Drosophila melanogaster: one gene and its partners. The protein of the gene in region 2 interacts with the protein of the main gene of each other region in a pairwise test. Each region holds a gene or a part of one and is shown on either strand. Other genes may lie near its edges.

What was found.
Region 1: the proteins of Spn42Dc (region 2) and Sap-r interact in a two-hybrid assay, tested with the Drosophila melanogaster proteins (one large-scale study listed by BioGRID).
Region 3: the proteins of Spn42Dc (region 2) and Acox57D-d interact in a two-hybrid assay, tested with the Drosophila melanogaster proteins (one large-scale study listed by BioGRID).

The regions. Positions count from the first base shown.
Region 1 is NT_033777.3:30,882,874-30,891,141, forward strand, and holds Sap-r (Saposin-related), read right to left. Parts: upstream 6,190-8,268; 5' UTR 6,061-6,189; coding exon 6,012-6,060; intron 5,954-6,011; exon of another isoform or gene 5,867-5,953; coding exon 5,788-5,866; intron 4,032-5,787; coding exon 3,749-4,031; intron 3,675-3,748; coding exon 1,847-3,674; intron 1,778-1,846; coding exon 1,302-1,777; intron 1,245-1,301; coding exon 1,103-1,244; intron 1,045-1,102; coding exon 1,040-1,044; 3' UTR 591-1,039; downstream 1-590. Other genes in the region: CG15547 (uncharacterized protein), read right to left, coding at 1-54, 110-198, 255-526.
Region 2 is NT_033778.4:6,878,988-6,884,212, reverse strand, and holds Spn42Dc (serpin 42Dc), read right to left. Parts: upstream 3,219-5,225; 5' UTR 3,136-3,218; intron 2,566-3,135; exon of another isoform or gene 2,457-2,565; 5' UTR 2,451-2,456; coding exon 1,575-2,450; intron 1,505-1,574; coding exon 1,363-1,504; intron 1,294-1,362; coding exon 1,100-1,293; 3' UTR 884-1,099; coding exon of another isoform or gene 871-883; 3' UTR 806-870; downstream 1-805. Other genes in the region: Spn42Dd (serpin 42Dd), read right to left, coding at 1-599, 871-883; Spn42Db (serpin 42Db), read left to right, coding at 3,498-4,349, 4,408-4,549, 4,723-4,895.
Region 3 is NT_033778.4:21,387,246-21,393,124, reverse strand, and holds Acox57D-d (acyl-Coenzyme A oxidase at 57D distal), read right to left. Parts: upstream 3,721-5,879; 5' UTR 3,627-3,720; coding exon 3,485-3,626; intron 3,067-3,484; coding exon 2,904-3,066; intron 2,843-2,903; coding exon 2,550-2,842; intron 2,488-2,549; coding exon 2,082-2,487; intron 2,028-2,081; coding exon 1,521-2,027; intron 1,465-1,520; coding exon 1,359-1,464; intron 1,286-1,358; coding exon 1,130-1,285; intron 1,071-1,129; coding exon 810-1,070; 3' UTR 686-809; downstream 1-685. Other genes in the region: Acox57D-p (acyl-Coenzyme A oxidase at 57D proximal), read right to left, coding at 3,994-4,254, 4,319-4,474, 4,548-5,160, 5,222-5,627, 5,691-5,879.

The DNA of each region.
Region 1 (8,268 bases), on a different chromosome or scaffold from region 2:
TCGGCCTGTTGCAGAAGTTGTTGTGGTCGAACATTTGATGGGGCTCGTGAATATCTGAAAAATTCGATATATTATTTTTTACTTTATTAATCTCTGTATCGCTACTTACAGTTGGGAAAAATAAAGTTTATCTCACGAGCCACGCTGTAACTGTTCTTGGTGACATGGATATTGCGTTCCAGATCCGATGCCGAACCACTTAAAGTCAAATTGTACCTAGAGAACTTATTATTTTATTTTAAAAGCAAACTCACAAATAACAAATCATGATGTTGAGCAGCTCCTGCACGGCGTTTTCCTTCGTAACTATGAACGCCTCGGAAACACCCTTCGAAAGCAGAATGACCTCCAGCATAAACCCCTTTTCATCGGCATAATCGGCATAGAACTCGGCGGCAGTTTCTGGCGAAAAGGCAATCCGTCGATTACCCTGAATCTGGAAGCCCTCGGCCAGCAACTTTAAGAGCACCGGACGCCGCTTGTGCAGATAGTCCGGCTTAATGATAAACAGGGAGTTCTCAAACATGTCGGCTAGAAAATATATACTATTCCAAGGGGAATTGGGAATTTTCAATAATGTGCTACTATGTCGGTTTAAGTTTTCTGTATGATTTATAAGATCAATGTTCGTATTTTACACAGTTTTGCTTGATATCTTAAACTACACACACTGCTCAAATGACTTCGGACACATGGGGATATCGATACAAAGTTTGCGGCTCGTGAATTTCGCTAATTTTTATGTTGAAATTACGATAAGGGTACTGCTTAGTGTAAGTGTTAGTTTAGTTAAGTTTAACTTTTTTCAGCCGGCGTTTGAGTGCGTTTATAAATTCAGTTTCATCACAAATTCACCTAACAAATTTAGAGCCAAAAACCGGGGTACAAAACGAAAAGTAAGTAATTATGTTTCATTTACAGTAAATCGTTATAGAATGTAAACAGATATATGTAAAGGTATATGCATATATAAAGCGTGGGATCGGGTCCCTTCTCCTTCAAATCCTCCGCGCCTGGTTCGTACATCACAACGCATCACTTAGGCTGTTGAAGATAGTAAATTAGTAAATGTATTGTTTGGGTCCTTCAACCTATAGCTTACCTGAAATTCTAGCAAAGGCCAGCGAAGACTTCTCGCTTTCGAAACACTTGCCAATCTCGGCGCAAATATGCGACTGATCAATATAGGGTCGTTTGGCCAAGTTCTTAATGCTACTGCCATAGATGGAGATCATCTCAGAGCACTGCAACGCAAAGGAACTTATAGATATTTATAACATTCAGGATTGTAAGTTACATACGATCTTGTAGTACTTGGCTGGCAAGTTCTCGCATCCCACCGATGTCATCTGTAGGGCTGTCACTTCGGATACGTTATCTTTCTTCTCGCGCAGGAAGGGCAACAGAGCCTGGGTGACTCCATGGCACACACCACACTCCAAAACTTCATCGGTGACGGCCACGCTGAAGCAGAGCTGCAGTTTCTGGCACACCTGCTTGGGCGGCACATCGCTCAGCAATTTCAGGACCGCAGAGGCATATCCATCGACGAAGGTGTCGCACTGTTTGCGCACCGTGGCTGGCAGGCGATTGCACACGGCTTCAATCGCTCGCTTAATGTCGTCCTGTTCGGTCTTATTCTTTAGATCGGCATCCAACTTGGTCATGATAAATTCGCAAAGGACGCAGGTGGGCGGCTCCTTGATGCTGCTAGACAGCTTGTTGTCCTGGCGCGGCAGAGCAATCACGTCGTACTTCAAAGCCTCATCCACTTCGACTGTATTACGAAAATGAAATTCATTAGTTTAAACGTATACTTAACGTAGCTCTAGAATTTAATACTCACGATCATCCAGATCAGCCAGGATGCACATTCCCAACTCCGTGCAGATAAGCTTGGGATCCATTTCCTTTAACAGCAGATCGGCGATCTTATCGCCGTACTTGTCGATAACCTTGTGGCATTTAGTGTTCATTGGCTTCCTCATTCGGTCGCAAGACTCCTCCAGGATATGCTTGATGCTGTCTCTGGTGGGGTGCTTGCCCATACGCTTCTCCAAGGTCTTAACCAACTCCTCGCAGATCAGGCAGTTCGGAGCAGCGGTGAATCCTGGGTCGAAGGCCAGCTGAGGGGGCAGCTCCTCAAGGGACTCAATGTCATTGAAGCTGATTTCCTCACTGCTGGATTTGTCCTCACCATCGACATCGTCCTCCAGCGAGATGCGCAAGTCCCAGAGAGCGTAAGTGGTCTTTGGGCAGAGCTTCAGTTGGACGCAGATCTCCTGCGGCTTAAAATCTGTGATCAGCATGTCGATCAGCTCATTGGAATAGGTGTTCACGAAGTCTACGCATTCTTCCTTTATCTCGTTGGGCAGATGGCTGCAAAGGCCATTCAGAACCTTTTTGATATTATCCTTGGACTTGTTGTCGCGGATCTTCATCTGGGCCTGCTCAACGGCAAAGAGGCACAGAGGGCAAGTTGGGGGATCCTGCTCATCGCTGGCTGGCTGGGGATTGAACACTTCGACATCTTCCTTCTTGGGCAGATTCTTCGGGCACATCTGCATGAGGGGGCACACGTCACGAGGATTCAGTCCTTGGACGAGCAGAGCTATCACAGCATCGCCATACATCTCCACGAAGTTGCGGCATTGACCGGCAACTCCCGAGGGCAGTTTGGCGCAGATGTTCTCCACGGTGTGCTTGATCTCGTCATCCGTGGAGGGGGTAGCCAGAGTCTCCTGAATGAAATGCAGCATGTACTCACACAGGGTGCACAGCTCTCCACCCTCGACCAAAGCTCCGGGATTAGCTGCACCCATTAGGTGATCAATGGGCAGCTGCATGTCCAGGATCTCTTGCTGGCTGAACTTCGGCTCACTGGCGCCCAGTTGCTTCTTCTCGTGCTTCTCCAGCTTCTCGATGGTGATCTTTACCTGAGCCGGCTCAATAACAGGCAGCAGCGGCATGATTGGGACATCCTTCATCGAGGAGGCGGAGTTCTTCTGGCAAATGCCGATCATGCAGCAGGCTCCATTGGCATCTAACTTGCTGACCAGAGTCTCGTAAATCACATGGTAGTATTGGTCAACAATGCTAAGGCACTCGTCCTTGAATCCCTTTGACTGCTTGCAGAATCCTTCCATAACTTGCTTGAACTCCGTTTCAGTGGTGTTGGCCACCAAGACGTCGCGAAGGTGCTTTACTAGTTGCTCGCATAGTTCGCATGGAATATCATCGCCGGCATCCAAGGCAACTAAGGCTTCTTGCGGTTGCTTTTCCTCTTCATGCTGGTGATATCTGGAGGCACACACTCCGGACACATGGCACACGGCATCCGTGGTCAAGTGCTTGCTCACATGGTCGTAGATATCATTAAAATAGGTGAGCACAATGTTGGCACAGGCGTCTGAGAAACTAGATAGCGATCCGCACATATGAAGCATCGTTTCCACCATGTCATCGCGATCGGTAGCCGCAAATTTCGAGTGCATCAGGCGGGAAAGCAGGTTGCAGTTGCCGCAGGAAAGTTGGTTAGGCTGCATGGCCAACTCGGTCTCCTCGGAGCTGTCATCTTCATTCTGGACGGTTCCATCAAGACCAGCCTGAATGCCGTTCTTATACAATTCGTCGATGCGAGCACTGTTGCAAAGTCCGGCCACAGAGCAAACTTGCTGAGGATTGAAGGGAAACATTTTATATATCAATAAAAGGTTTAGGAGGATGTGTTGTAGAGGTGAAAACTCACATCTGGATTCATCTGCGAGGCCAGGGCCTCGACCAACTCGGGCAGGAAGTCATCGGCCACCTTGATGCACTCCTTCTGGATCGGCTTGATCGGAATCAGCTTGCAGGAGCCCTCGAAGACCTCCTTCAGCTCCTCCTCTGTCTGGTTGCTCTTCAGCTGGTCGCGGGCCTGAGTAACCATGTCCTTGCATATCGTGCAGATGGAGTCCGTGTCCACCGGCACCTTTTGGGTTTCCCAAACGGTTTGGATGCAGTGGCGGGTGGCACGACATTCCTTGGAGTTGCTGGAAAGGAAGCAGACATAAAGTTAGCAAACTTTTTTTTTGCTGTTAAGATAAACCCATCAGAGTAAGCAGTCGGATACTAAGCTGATTGTGCGAAATGCCGCTGTTCGGATCAAATGACCCGCATTCGTAATCGAGTGGCCAAGCCAGAATCGACGAGTCAGCAAAGACCAGAGTCCACTAAAAAGGGAGTAGTCCCCTATCCACTTTAAGAATGCACCCACAGCTCACATGATAATGTTGGGTCTTCAATGAATACAACGAAGCATTGGACTGGTAATAATTTTGATTTTTGAACATCCGAGACGGAACGAAATGGTTTAATAATCATCAAACTTATGCTGACTAAATCAAAGCCCATATCATCTCATATAAGCAAATAGCATTTAAAGCACAACACTTTGATGGAAAGTAACCCTATATTTGTTCAATATAAATCGATTTGACTGATTCGAACGGAAAGTGCTAATTTCCATTAACATGAAGAGACGCCTGCGGTGGAATCGCCAGGAATACCAAACAAAAGCGTCTAAATAGCAAAAAATCAGCACTGATAAGCACGGAAATAAACAGTACATATGTATGAATGATATATCTGGACGTATCCACGTATATATTATTCACTTGGCTGCGCATTCACAGATATTGTTTTCTGAATTTTCAACAGCAATGGCGACGTTTTTAATTTTTGACACTCTGCAATTGAGAAACAAAGAAACGGTTAAGAGCCAGAAATGGCGGATTTTCCTGGCCATTTAAAAATAAATCAATCAATAAACAAAGGAATTACGACTAGCGATAAGCGATGGATGGGTGCTTAACAAATGTTTTCAGTTGCCTATTGATCGCTTTTACTCTATTAATGATGCAGTCCATGTAAATGTTTTCAAGTTTATCTTGGTGTAACATACATACATATGTACGTACAGTATAGCTTCTGTAAGGTGATCCTTTGTGGCCGCAATGTAATATCACTCCATTGAGGAATTTACAATTGTGAGTATGGCTAAGATAAGGGTTTCAAGTGCATTGTGATTGTGTTAAGGCTTAGAAGTTGCACTTTCGGATGTTCCCCTGTACTCATCATACGCCTGAGGGATTAGTCAGAATTCGTTGATAAGGAACAACTGTTGCCGCCTACAGCGAATTAACAATGATAAACAAAGCAATCATGTGGTTTGTTTGGCGGTGCACAGAAAAGGGAGCTGTGTCAAAACGATCTGCTCCTCTGGATTACTCATGCATATAATCGGTGTCGATAAAGTTGTGCCCCCTACGAGCGCTTAACTCTGCCGTCTAAATGTTCCGACTGGCGGTACTGTTAATTTGATTTGTACAGCGAATGTGCAGACAAAGGAAATCCAGAAATATGGGATATGAAGGCAGAGAGTATTGCGAAAAGTGCACTCAGAGAAAACATCGAGTCTGTAAAACAATACAACGCAAAATAAGGGGACGCAATTAGAGCGGCACTAGTGTTAAGTTTGCAATAACAGGGGTTATCGGCGAATAGAGCTATGTAGAGCAAAGTGATTCGATTCCCGATTCGAGTGATAGTCTTATCGGCCGAGAACAAAACAGAACAGACGAGTCTTCGCTGCAAACAATGGGCAAGTGAGGCGGAGAAGTAATATCGCTATTTGGAGGGGGGTTAAGAGAGGTTAGCTTTTCGCCTTCGAGAACTTTGTGGTGTTCGATGACCAAGCGATTTATCCGAATATACCGTTTATTGTATCACCCACTTTTTTGCACTCACCTGAAATTTCCGCACCAGTAGGAGGGTCCCCAGGTGCACTTGCTGGAGCCCAAAAGGGGCGTGGCAGCGGCGAAGACGCCTGCAAGAAAGCAAACAAACAAAGAGAGCAACGGTTGAGGAACAGAGTGCACAGCACGAATACGCAATAAGCTATGACTAAACTATTATTGTGGTTCCCTTTCAACGTCGCTTTTCGCACTTCTCTCCATCTCTTCTCCACTCACCAAAGGCGCAGCACAGTGCCAAAACGGCCAAGAGGCCTGCTCTCTCCATTTTCCCGGTTTTAACTGTACTTCTTAAATGTCGGCGGAGATAGTCCTCTATTTGCAGCTACGTATTTATTTCTGAACGAAAACTGAAGTGCAATTGCAACGATTGGTTCAATTTTTTATTTGTCTGTAGTGTGGCCGCCGTCTGTTTCGTCAAATATATACCGTAGCGATATAATAGTGCGACCAGTCAGCGATTGAATTATTGTTAAATTTATTTAACGATACTTATGGAGCAAGACTTGGATAATGCTTTTAGCATAAAACCAACCCAGTGTATACTTAGCAATCAGGGGGGAGCATGGACTCGAACCGCACTCTGTTAATAACAGAGATCTGTTTTTGCCTTTCAAAAAGCCATAAAAACCTCCGAGGAAGCTATCATAAAATGGGGTCAGCAAATCATTAAACTTAAAATGGTATAATAAACAATTAAGTAACCGATATGAAACTATTAGATTTGGGCCACCTTTCTATAGGGTGTTAAGTACATGGAGTACTTGAATACGTTGTCCTTCAAATTATAACTTCAATTATCGTAGAAGAAAATTATTGCTCCTAAAGTCGGAACAATTTATTAAATCACTCACTCAATCAACAAACAAAGCCTTCGCCACCCGCAAATGCCTCACAATGTATTTATAATCGATTGCAATCCGCAGATTTAATTACATATTGCCGCGACGAAACTATGACAATAACCATCAGCGATGTTCTTGAACTTAGCGCGGTTATTAATACGCCCCTTTTTGCCCAGCCCCATCGCTTAACCCCCCTTTGGCCAACTTGGCCAACTGTGCGACGTGAACTGGCAGGCACATGATTAAATTCTATTGTAATTGCGGGTTAATTGATGTGAGCCTGCCCAGATGTAAAGCTCGCAGGCATAAATGTTGGGGAAAATGCATCTCACTCGTAATGGCCGGCTAGTAGATTTTTCTCGCGATGCCTATCGGCGTGTAATTCTCGATTCCGAGGTGCGTATCAAGATCTGTGTGAGAATCGTCTGAAGATACATTCGCAAAGAATGCCAGACACATTCTCACAGCGATTGAAAGTCGAGGTCATCTGGTGGTGTTTGCCCAACGAAATGCCAAATGCAAGCGCCGATCCGGCCAATACGGCCATAACATGGCTATATCTGTGTCAAAACCAACGATTTGGCTGTTCAGGGGCTTAGAAGGAAACCTGAAACCTGTCGTGTTGACCGTGGATTGCAACGCCTGCCGTGCATTTCGGTTCTTTGACGGAGATTAACCCACTGAGACCTTGCTGAAATACTTGGTACTTAGAACCAAAAATTGTGGAAATATTAAATTGCACTCGATTAAATAGGAATTGAATTTAAGGTTTATGTGACCTTAGGCGAGGTACCATGGGGTAGTAGAGGGTTAATTGCAGCCAGACACTGCACTTGACACTTGAAGTCTGGCTGCGAGATTGATATTATGGCAATTGAGTGGACCGCCGCCAAAGAACAAGTAATCAAGTTCAGCAGTGAAGGAAATTTAGGCAATTAACACGCTTATAAGTGAAGCAGTAAATCATTGGACTAACGTTTAATTTCGGAGTTTCAAGAGCGAGATAATTTTCTGCTTTTATCCGCTTTTTTATGTCATTCATAAATTTGTTTACTCTAGAAGCGACTGCTTGTTTGGGTCTTTGAATTCAGCCAAGCCAAGTTATAGTCGGACAAAGTACAAAGTACGCCTTTTATTCCCTCCCAATTAACTTGGTCAAAAATCAGGTTCGGAAAGAATTAAATGCATCCATCCACAAGAGTGAAATTTCCGGCAGTTCACACGCTGGCAGATAAAATCGAGGCTCGAGATACATTTTGTGTTGAGTGACCCGCGGAGAGATTGGTAACAACTCTAATTGCCGCGATTGCCAAGTGCGTCACATAAGGCCCGTCTAATGGCTAATTGTTTATGGCCACTTTGGCTGACCTCTTGGGCAATTTCCCTTTCCCTATCCATGAAATCCGCCTGAAACTCCGAAACAGTTACTTTGGGGTAGTCGCTTTTCGGAGATCAGAGAACGTAGCTCACTAACTACTGCCTCACCATGCGGAAATGAACTTGACCTTATCGAGGGGCTAAAAGACCGCTAGCCACAGCCAAATGCCAGCTAATCAATTCAGCCACAACTGCTGGCCATAATTTGTGAGTCAAATCTTCAAATACTGTCTATAATGGCTATAAGCGAACGA
Region 2 (5,225 bases):
CATCTGGACGGGCACACTCTTGTTCGCAGTTACTTGGAAGGTGGAGGCTCTGGTCTTAGCTGGGTCAAACTTCGACTCCCACTGGCCCTTAAAGTAGATGGCGTTCACCAGCAAGGCCTTCACGTCGGACGTCATGCTGCCGGGATCGATCATGCCCTTGATTTTACCACTGGTCTGATCCAGCACCCACTGGTTGATTCTCTCGGCCGCCACAGGGCCATTGGTCAGACTAATGGACTCCGCCTCGGACTTGAAGGGTTCCCTCACAGCGAGGTTGTAGTTCTGATTCAGGCTGTACTGGTCGTTGACGTAGATGCGATTCGCGAGCTTTAGTATGGGTCCCTCCTCCTGTCCCTGAAGATCGTTGAGGAGAGCACCGTACCTGGCTGCCACCGCCTCTTTGTCCTCCGATGGTAAACCTAAGGCGCTCTGCAGCTCCTTGGCCGTCGAGCCTTCTGCGCCCATGAAGACCATGCTAAGGATGGTCTCTATGGAGACGGGCGAGACGACGAGGTTCTGGTTTGTATGGCTCTTGGAAAGTAGTTGGTAGATCTCTTTGGAGGTCTGACATGCCACTGAAGTGACCCACAGGAAAATGCCTAGTTTGGGGATGTTAATTATCAATTCGTTTTCAGCGTTCGGAAATTCTGTTCATGCATATTAAACTTGATATTTTTTACTTTTACAGACTAAAGCAAATCGAATTCAACGAAAGCGGATAGTCTTTGTAAGTTAAAAGTTAATGCCATAGCAAACGTCTTCACCATATTGTTTTATTATTTTCTATGAATTTAATTTAAATCATAAGTTATTATAGGTAATTTATTGCTTTGTATTTTAATTCACTGGCTATAAGCGATCGCCACTTACACAAGTAATACATTTGACCGTCTACAACGAACTCTTCCCCGAGATAAGTATCTCTGTAAACTGAGCGCCGAGTGCCAAGACGAGCTCATATATGCACTGGACATATATGTACCTACTGGCGATACTTCATTACGTTACTGAGAACTGCGCACACAGCTCTCTCGGATTGAAATCCAATGACGTCTAGTGGGATTTCATAGCTGAGTTCTATTCGGTCTCACTGCTGTTCTTAGACATTGTACATGTTGGCATCGAAACCTTCCCGTGACAAGCCCTCCTCTCCTGATCCAGATCCAGACTTGGGGTTCGAGAATCGGCCGGCGAAGAAGACGGCCTGCGGGTTTCGTATGTAAAAGACGAACGGGTGATCCGCCTTGAAGAGCTTCTTGTTCATGTTGAGCATCATGGGTACTATCTTCATGACTGAGTGTGGGAATCAGAGTTGAGATTAGTACGAGCAAGTTTGAGTTGCAAGCAGCTGATTTCACTTACAACTGACTGCTGCTGCCTCCGATCCTGCCTCATTTACGTCGATGTAGCCGCGGTGCCTTGCTGCCGAGATTTTTTGGCCACTTTGCGAGGTAAAGAGCCCGTCTAGCTTGGCCTTATCGCTGAAGACTTCCGTAATACCCAGCTGAGAATAAATATCAGATATTACATTGTTATTAAAACAAAGCCACTATTATCGGTTAAATGTATCTTACCTGATTAAGTACCTGCTTGAGGTCCACGTCGTACTCTATGCACATCCTGGGCAGAAAGATCTCGACATCCTGCAAGGTCAGCGCTGCGTCAATATCGGCTAGATCCACGGTGTTGAGTTGCTGCTCTAACTCCTGCAGACCGTTTACTTCGTTGGGCAGCAGAATTAGCATGTGAATGTTTGAGTAATCATAGGGCAGTTGCACAGCTCGAGCCTTCAGCTGTGGCAGTTCTGCGAACCGGAACTTGTCCTCTTGGTACATCATATTCACCTGCACGTGAGTGTCCCGGTCCACGTGGAAATGGTCAATCGATGTGGTCTCTGGCATAAATGGTTTCTGCCACTTTCCCTTAAAGTACAAGACATTGATGAGCAGGGCGCTCGTTTCGTTGTTCACGGCATCCGATTGAAGCAGGTTGGTGATCTTATGCTCCGTCTCCTGTTCCACCCAGTCGTTGATCAGCTGCGTAGCTCCCTCCGAATCGGCGAACCTCGTCGCCTCGGCCTTCGACTGGAAGAAGTCCACGGCGATCTCGTTGAACTCGGTAAGCAGTTCCAAGGAATCGTTGACGTACAATCGGTTCACGGACTTCAACACGGGTCCCCTGTCGCCGTAGTTACAGCTCGTGCGCCAGAACTCTCCGAAGTTTAGGGCTATGTGATGGCGATCTCCTGGTCCTAGCTGAAGCCCATTCCTTAGCTCCTCTGCTGTAGATCCGGAAGCCCCCATAAATGCCAAGGTCAATGCACTTTGGACGGATGCTGGAGAGAAAACCGTATTTATGTGGGGGTCTTTGCTCTGTTGCAGGGCATCTTTGGTAATGACATCTATCAGATTTCGCGCAAACTGATTTCTGCCTTCTTGGGGTTCGCTCATCTCGATCTGGGCAAAAAAATATATGTTTTAATTTATATTTTTAAATACTTAAATGTAACATAAGTATACAAAAATAAGACATTTTCGGGCCAAATCTCATTATCTCATTTGGCATTATCGCCAGCTGTTAAGCGCCAACTTGATCAATCCAGAACAATTTCGAATTCGGATTCAATCTTTAATAAAATAAAACATTTTCAAAATTGCCTATGCTAATTAAAAATAAATCCGAAATCCCAGAATGACGTATTAGCTTACAACTGCTACTAGGTGCTACTATTTATTTTAAAATAATAATAATAATTCCCTATTATATTTTTAATAGAACCGATGTAGAAAGTAAAGTGAAGTCAACTAGAACTTGCTTTCGTCATAACAAATTGCCTTATAGCAAACGACGCGATAGTAATTCAAAGATAAAATAACACACGTCACCTGATAAGGTTGTTGATGTTTTCAGATATTTAAAATTTAACAATACCCTCTACTGCATAGAGGGGATTACTGCATATTTAGATTACCGTAACTTAGCCTACTAAGTAAGTTTCGGAATTTCTTTAATTTACAAATCATCGATCAATGTGGACATGAAACAATAAATTTCTCTACGTGCACTGATAAGCTATTTTGGATCGGCGAAACAGGTGAGGGCGTCGCTGACCCTATGGGTGCGCTGATAACTTACACCGGAAAAAACAATCTCACGGATACAATCGGAAGGCAGCCGGAGAATGAGCGTGGTTTCCGTCAAACTGCGCGGAATTGACTAACGCCGCGAATCGCAGTAAGTCAGAACTGAACGAACTGCAACTCGATTAGATAAATTCCAAGAGAGTCTGAAGTGGCAAGCGCTCTCGACGGAGAGAAGTTCCTGGCGTACCCGAAATTGGAATGGTGTTGATAGCTCATCTAGCTTCTTATTAAAATATTTGCTCAAACTGCTGATAAGTCAATCTGAATCTCTTTCGAAAAATGAGTACTCACTGATTCTTCTATCGTAGACGCATATTTAACATATTTAACCTGAGATCGTCTGCTTTCTTCATCATGAAAGATGAGGAGTTCGCACAGGGCTTGGAACAATTCGCTCTTTGTCTGCACGACCATTTGTGCCGGGCAAGTGCTGGCCTAAACATCATCTACTCCCCATTATCCATCCACATCTCTGCGGCCATGCTGCGGATGGGAACATCCGAGGGATCGGCTACAGCTAAGGAGATGGACGAGGGGCTCCGTTTCGGTGGGCTAGAAGCTCAGCAAGTAGCTGAAAGCTTTGGTGTCGTCCTCAAGTCCTATGAACAGTGCCAGGTTCTTAAAATGGCAAACGGCCTATATGTTATGAAGGGTCTCCAAGTTGACGAGCAGTTTGGTCACATACTAGAGCAGAAGTTTCGCTCCAAGCCAATGGAGATTGACTTTGGCAGCGAGCAGGCTGCCAGCATAATCAACAAATGGGTGGAGTCACAGACCAACAACCTGATCAAGGACATAATCGGTCCAAGAGTTCTTACCAAGGACTCGCGGCTGTGCCTAGTAAACGGTATTCACTTCAAGGGTGAGTGGTCAATCAGTTTCAATGAAAAAGAAACCCGCGAAGAGGATTTCTTCGGATCGGATAGACCTACCAGAGTGAGAATGATGCATGTGTGCGAGAACTTCTTTTTTGCCGTACTTCCCATGTTCGAAGCCACTGCCCTTAGAATGAATTATAGTGCCTGTAATTTGGCCATGATCATTTTACTTCCTGATGAGAAGTCGAATCTCACGAGCCTCGAAAAGAAACTTAGTGATATTTCCCTAGAGGTAGTGTCATCAGCAATGAATCTGGAAAAAGTGGATGTGAAGATTCCTAGCTTTACAGCCGAGTTCCAGCAAGAACTATCCCAGGTTTTAATGCTGGTTAGCTGAAATGGATTTGTTATTGAAATTTGATTATACGCAACCTGGCTACTCACAGATGGGCATGAACCGAATATTCAGTGGTCAGGCAGAGCTTGGGGGAATGCTACAATCCGAGGAAAGCCTTTTTGTCTCCCAGATCGTCCACAAAGCATTTATCGAGATTAACGAAGTGGGCACTGAAGCTGCAGCCGCAACGGGTGAGCCTGCAAAAAAAAAAGGTTCCAAAACTTTTGGCAATTTGAAAGCCTCTTATATCTAGTACTCCGGATATTCTTACGAATGTCATACGAGGTGCTAAGCAAGTCCAATATTAAAAATTTCACTCAAATATGTATATATTCGCATTAACTAATTTAAACTTCTTGTTCAGCTGCGGTTGCCACATTTAGAAGCATGCCTGCGCGCCAAGGACCTCCAAAGGTATTCCACGCTAATAGACCTTTCTTCTATGCTATAAAGGACAACACCCATGGCCTTCTATTTGCCGGTCATTTTATCACAACCAAGGTTGAGCAGTCTGAAAAATGTAACACATGTACCTAAAGGAAAAATAAATATGTATATCTTTGGCGTGGGAAATAGTTGAGAAATAAATTGTACTTCCACTTAAGTTACTTATTAAACATTTGACACATTAAACGTGTAGGAATTATCTATTATTTATTATTATTATTATTATTTATTATTATAACATAAATCTGCCTTTGAAGGTATATAAAGGGTGTTATTCGATTCTATTGACTCATTCTATTGACTTCTCCCTAGAATTTTTGGCAAAATATAATAAACAAATTTAGGTAGGGAATGATTTCAGTTTCAGCTTTCCTCTGTTATCAGGGAACGGAAAAAATCCCATTATTGTCGAAGACAATA
Region 3 (5,879 bases), about 15 Mb from region 2:
TCACATGCAATAGTGAAAATTAATTGTTAAGTTTACAAGGCGATTTCAAATTAAACTAAAACAAAACAGTCCAGCAACAAATGTTATACTCACCCACACCCTCATACCAATCAATTAGCTGCAATACTTGTTTAATTGTTAGTCAACCAATATTCTCTCTCCAACTCTCATGCCATATTTTCATTGCGAAAAGAAGTTACGAAAAACGAAAACTAATATATAACATATAAGTATATAATTAGCAACATAAATCAATTGTGTGTGTAACTGTGTATAATGCATAAATAATGAATTAAACCTACTACTACTTTGACAGCAGAGCATATAACAAAGGGAACTTTCGAACATCATCAGAGAAGTGAAAACTATTTTCCCCCTTTTCCGGAATCAAAACTGCAACTTACACACAAAAACATGCACACACTTCTCACACACACACACACACACACACACACAAGCAAACAAGAAAACATGAGCAACAGCAACTGCAACAGGAACTAAAACATTTTTCTGAACACAACTTTTTCTACACTGTAAAAAACGCAACCGCATCGTTTTTGATATGTACAAGTACTATGTTTGTTCAACTCTCGACCCATAGTACGTTTTGTCAAATTTTACATCAACTTTTTTTGCTACTTTGTAAGCGTTTAGTTTGTTAGTTTTTTTTAAAAATGCGCTGAATGTACTGAGAAATTGGTTTTGATTTGCTAAATAAAACTGGTATAAAACTAATTTAAACAAAACATGTAGTTTCTCTACTTCAATATAACTCTCTATACACATGACTCGGGTCGGTCGTGTTTGCTTTACAGCTTAGCCTTCATCAGGGGCTTCAGGTAGGTCTCAAATGATGTTTGGACGGGCTTCTGGTTCATGGTGCTGCGTTTGGCCGAATCGAAGAGCCTGGGATACACATTGCCATCGTAGCTGCCCAGCACGGAGTTTAGCACACGGTCGTGGAACTCGAATCCATCGCATATGGCCACCGCATTGGGTCGGAACTGCGCCAGTGAATCCTCCAAGCGTTTTTGCAGCGATCGCAGATCCGCATCGCTTAGTTTAATGAACTGGCAAGCAAAATGGCATAATTAACAATGCAGTAAATGGAAATGAGAGGAAAACTCACTCTTAAAATGTCATTAAGGTTATTAAGCACCGTTTGGACCAGAAATAGTTCCAGCACGTTCTCCAATATCTTGTTCAGTGCGGGGGATCGCTTCTGGGCCTTGGCACCAGTGATCTGCTCCAGGAATGTTTGGCACACAAACTGCCGGCCATGCAGCTGAAATATGTTTGCATAATTGTCAAATATAGTCATCTACGTGGTCATCTCTAACTTTGTTTATATTACTTACCTCAGCTGCACGAGTCAGTTCGATTCCCGTGTTATTGGCCGCCACACCTTGAGACTGACCGCTGGCCATGCGATTCGCTAGATTCTCGAAAGCAATGCGGGTCTTGCTGCAAATTAATCATGTAAGCACTAAGTTAAAAAGATGCATTTAAGTCAAACTCACTGTGCAGCCGTGTATTGCAAAGCCTTGATGATGCACTGCCAGGAGTCGTCCCATTTGGGGAACTCCTTCAGCTGCATGGAGCTGGCAAAGTAGCTGTAGGATGCCGATAATGGTTTCTTGTCCACGAACGAAGCCCATGCCTTAACTAAAGCTCGTCCAATTTGCAGAAGCAGCACCGTGTTCTCGCCTTCGTAGGTGTACGCAGCCACAGCATTGCCATAGATGTTGCTCAAGTTGGCGGCGATGAGGTAACCATGTCCTCCAGTGGACAGACGAAGTTTTTCAATGCCAGCACAGCCGTCAGTGGTGCAAAGGACCTTGAGCGCGCAGGACAGGATGTGCATGTCGGGCAGTCGCTCGAACTTGCCGTTGTTGGCTTCCTGCACCGTCTGGGCATACATTTCCCACATGTACTCGGTGGCCAGATGGTAGGCGATTCCCGTAGCGATCTCAGGGAAGAGCTTCAGGCGCTGGGTCACATGATCTATGATCTGGGGCTCGGGTTGACTGTCGGTACATAGACATTAAGTTTTTATTCCTGCAAACACCATCGCAACTTACTTGGGCTCAATGGGACTCTGACGCCGCACTGCCGAGTATCTCGTGGCTATGGTTGCCGCCGCCAGGAGCAACGTGGAGTTCTGGCTAACGATCAAGCAGCGCGTGTACACCATGGTCAGGTAGTTAATCCTCGATGCCGGGCTGGCCTTGAAGGTGCCATCCCGCTCCACCTTGGCGAACTTCATCAGCATGTTGGTGCGCGGAATTCGAACGTGGTTCAGTCCCAGGAAGCCCTGGTTCACGGATGCCATGCCGAGCTTCTTGCCAATCTCACCGATATCAACACCCGGCAGTGGCATGTGAGTTTCGGAATCTCTTAACGGCACAATAAACATTTGCACGCCATGATGAACATCGGCGATATATAGTTGGGCTACTACCATTGCATGATTGGCCGTGTGTCCCACTAGAGATGATAAGGATGGATTAAATGCATATTTGGACTACAACTATAATTAAACTACTTACAGCCGCCGGGCCACCATTTGTAGGCCTCCAAGTTCGGTGTATTTAGCACAAACTCATCCGTTTTGGGATCAAAGTCAGCCCGAGTGGCCAAGCCACGGACATTGGTGCCATGGGCCAGCTCCGTTTGGGCGTAGGTGCCGATAATGTTGCAGTTCTCCGCCGCCTTGCCCCACTTCTCCACCTGTTCGGCAGTGCCCTGACCTTTGATCACATCCACGAACATGGTGATGTGGGTGGCAATCGGATGATTAGCCGGAAAAAGTCCAAAGCTCTGTGCATTGAATAGTCCTCCACTGCAAATCGAGCGGAAATAAGATTGAAGAAACCTTTTACACACTTGCGTGTTTAACTTACGGCCAGATGTCAGTTCCTCCAGGATTAAGCTTGTTCTGCAGAGCCTTGAGCTTAACAGCTGCCTCAGCCACCTTCTTCACCGTGGAATTGTAGACCTCCTCGTGGGACATGTACTCATGGTTGAGGCCATAGCCATCCTCAAGATCGCTGAAGATCGCTTTCTCTGTCGATTAGAAATTACACTTCTTATACAACTTTCAATTATGAACAGAATAAGTGGTAGCAATAAAAGATAGAATCAGTCGTAAAGATAATGGTTCGATTTATAAAGTGTGACTGTGCCCTTCGTTATCACCTGGGGGTGTAGAGCAGCCCTTTAAGCTGATAAGAAAATTAGCTTATTTGCAATTGCAGGGAATCGTAGATATCACAAGTGCTATCACGATCTTTTATTATTGATAAAGCAATAAAGGTTTTAATTCGGCTGCTCAACAATGTATAACAATAATTGGACTTCGGGCCATTTGATGAACTGTTTGGACCCCGATTTTTTTGATGGCAAAGAAGCTTTAATTGAACAAAACCTGTGCCATATCACGAACACCGGCGTGACGCTAATGATTTTTATCTTTAACAATTACCGATTTCGCGCTTCTTCTTCAGTTTGTCTTGACCACCGTGCCACCAGGCGGAGAATTCCTCCACATGGAATTCAGCTGCAGCACGTTCCTTTTGAAGATCTGGATTCACTGTGCTCGGTATTAGGTTTTTAATATGCGACATTGTTGTGTGCAAAATAAAAATACGGAATTGTTAACAACTAAACTATGATCCACCACTAGATCCAATCAACAGCTGTGAGCTCCACGCGACTACTGAGCGAAAGTGGATGGATCGGCGAGAATGAAAAGCTTTTGGGGGGGCAAAGTGCACAAGACAGCTTTTCAAGAGAGAAAGCTGATCGACAAAGCAGCAGATGTTCATGGCTTGGCAAAGAATTCATTTAAAGAGCGGTATATGTTGGGTCTATATTATTAAAGAGTATTATTTACAAAAATAATACAAAACACCAATACATATGGGGTATTTACAATACATTACATTGAGCCTAACTCTAGATAGGTGGTTTAATAAACAGCTGTCCAAGGCACTAGATGTTTGACTTCATGAACGGCCTCAGGATCTCATGGAAGTACTTAGGCACTGCTTTTTGGTTCATCGGATTCTTGAGGGCCGCATCGAAGATACGCTCGTAGGCATTGCCATCGTAAGAGCCCAGAGTGGAGTTCAGCTGCAGATCGCTGAAGTCAAAGCCATCCACAATGGCCACAGCATCTGGTCGCAGTTTGGTGAGCACTGTTTCCAAGCGATCCTGCAGCCCGGAGAGATCCGTATCGGTCAAGTTAATGAACTGTGGAATAAGAATATATTAAGTTAACATTCAACACATTCTAGGCTAAATAATTGAAACCCACTCTCAGCAGGTGACCCATTTGATTAAGTGTCTCCTTGACTAGGTACAGCTCCAACAGGTTCTCCAGGACTCGATTGAAGTTAGCTGAGCGCGTCTTAGATTGAGGACCGGTGACTGCTTCATAGAAAGCACTGAAAACAAAAGCACGTCCGTGGAGCTATGGGCAAGAAAAAATTTAGAGTTTTTCAGAAATCGGTAGGGCACAGTCCAAGTCACTTTAGCACACTAACCTCTGCCGCCTGGGTGAACTCAATGCCCGTGTGATTAGCTGCGTTCGCTTCAGTTTCGCCCCTTGACATACGTTTGGAAAGGCTCCTGAATGCCAACTGTGTTCTATTGGCAGCTGCATACTGCATGGCCTTAACCATGTTCTCCCAACTTCCAGTCCAGGTGCCAAACTCCGGATTCTTTTGCACCTCGGCCAAATAGCGAACGGTGGGCGGCAACGGAGCTCCAGTCAACGCGGCTCGCCACGTCTTCATTAAAAAGCGACCGATCTGCAGAAGCAGTACGGTGTTCTCACCCTCATACGTGCAAGCTGCGGTGGCACTAACGTATATACTGCTCATGTTGGATGAGGTGAGGAATCCATGACCACCACAGGCCAGTCGCAATTTCTCTACACCAGAAGCGGAGTCCATGGAGCAGGTAACTTTCAAAGCGCAGGACAGAGAATGCAACTCCGGCAGACGTTCGTATTTTCCGTTTTCTATATCCTCGATGGTCACATCGTACAGATTCCACAAGTAATCACCGGCCTTTCGGTATGCCACGCTTGTGGCAATCTCTGGGAAGAGTTTCATTTGTTGTGTAACATGATCCATGATCTGAGGCTCTCGTTCGCTGAAAATAAACAAGGGACAATTGAATTCGAATAAATGTATCTACGTTGTTAACAACTTACTTGGGATTAATTGGGCTCTGACGGCGCACAGCCGAGTATCTGGTTGCAATGGTGGCAGCAGAAGCCAACATCACGGCATTGTTTTTGGCAATTACACAACGCGTGCGGACCATGGCAAAGTAGGTAAGCACATTGGTGGGACTACTAACATAGGATCCATCAGCCTTCACCTGAGCATGTCGCATCAGCATTCTCGTACGAGGAATCCGTACGTTCTTTAATCCAAGGAAACCATTGTTTACGCCAATGAAGCCCATTTTCTTGCCAATATCACCGATGTGGACGCCGGGCAGTGGTTCGTGGGTGTCTTCATCACGCACCTGAATAAAGAACATGTGCGGACCCTTGCAGTCGCCGTCGATGTACAGCTGAGCCATAACCAGGCAGTGATTGGAGCTGTGGCCCACTGAAAATTTATAGTTAAACTTTAATATCTGAAAACCGATTGGATCACCATGCCAGAACTTACAGCCTCCGGGCCACCACTTGTAGGAGGAAATATTGGGGGTGTTGAGTACAAATTGATCAGTCTTTCGATCAAAATCAGCACGCGTTTCCAGCCCGCGCAGGTAGGTTCCATGACCCAGTTCCGTTTGGGCATAGGTGCCGCAAATCTCGAAGAGTTCCACCCGCTTGCCGAATTCTTCATACTGCTCCG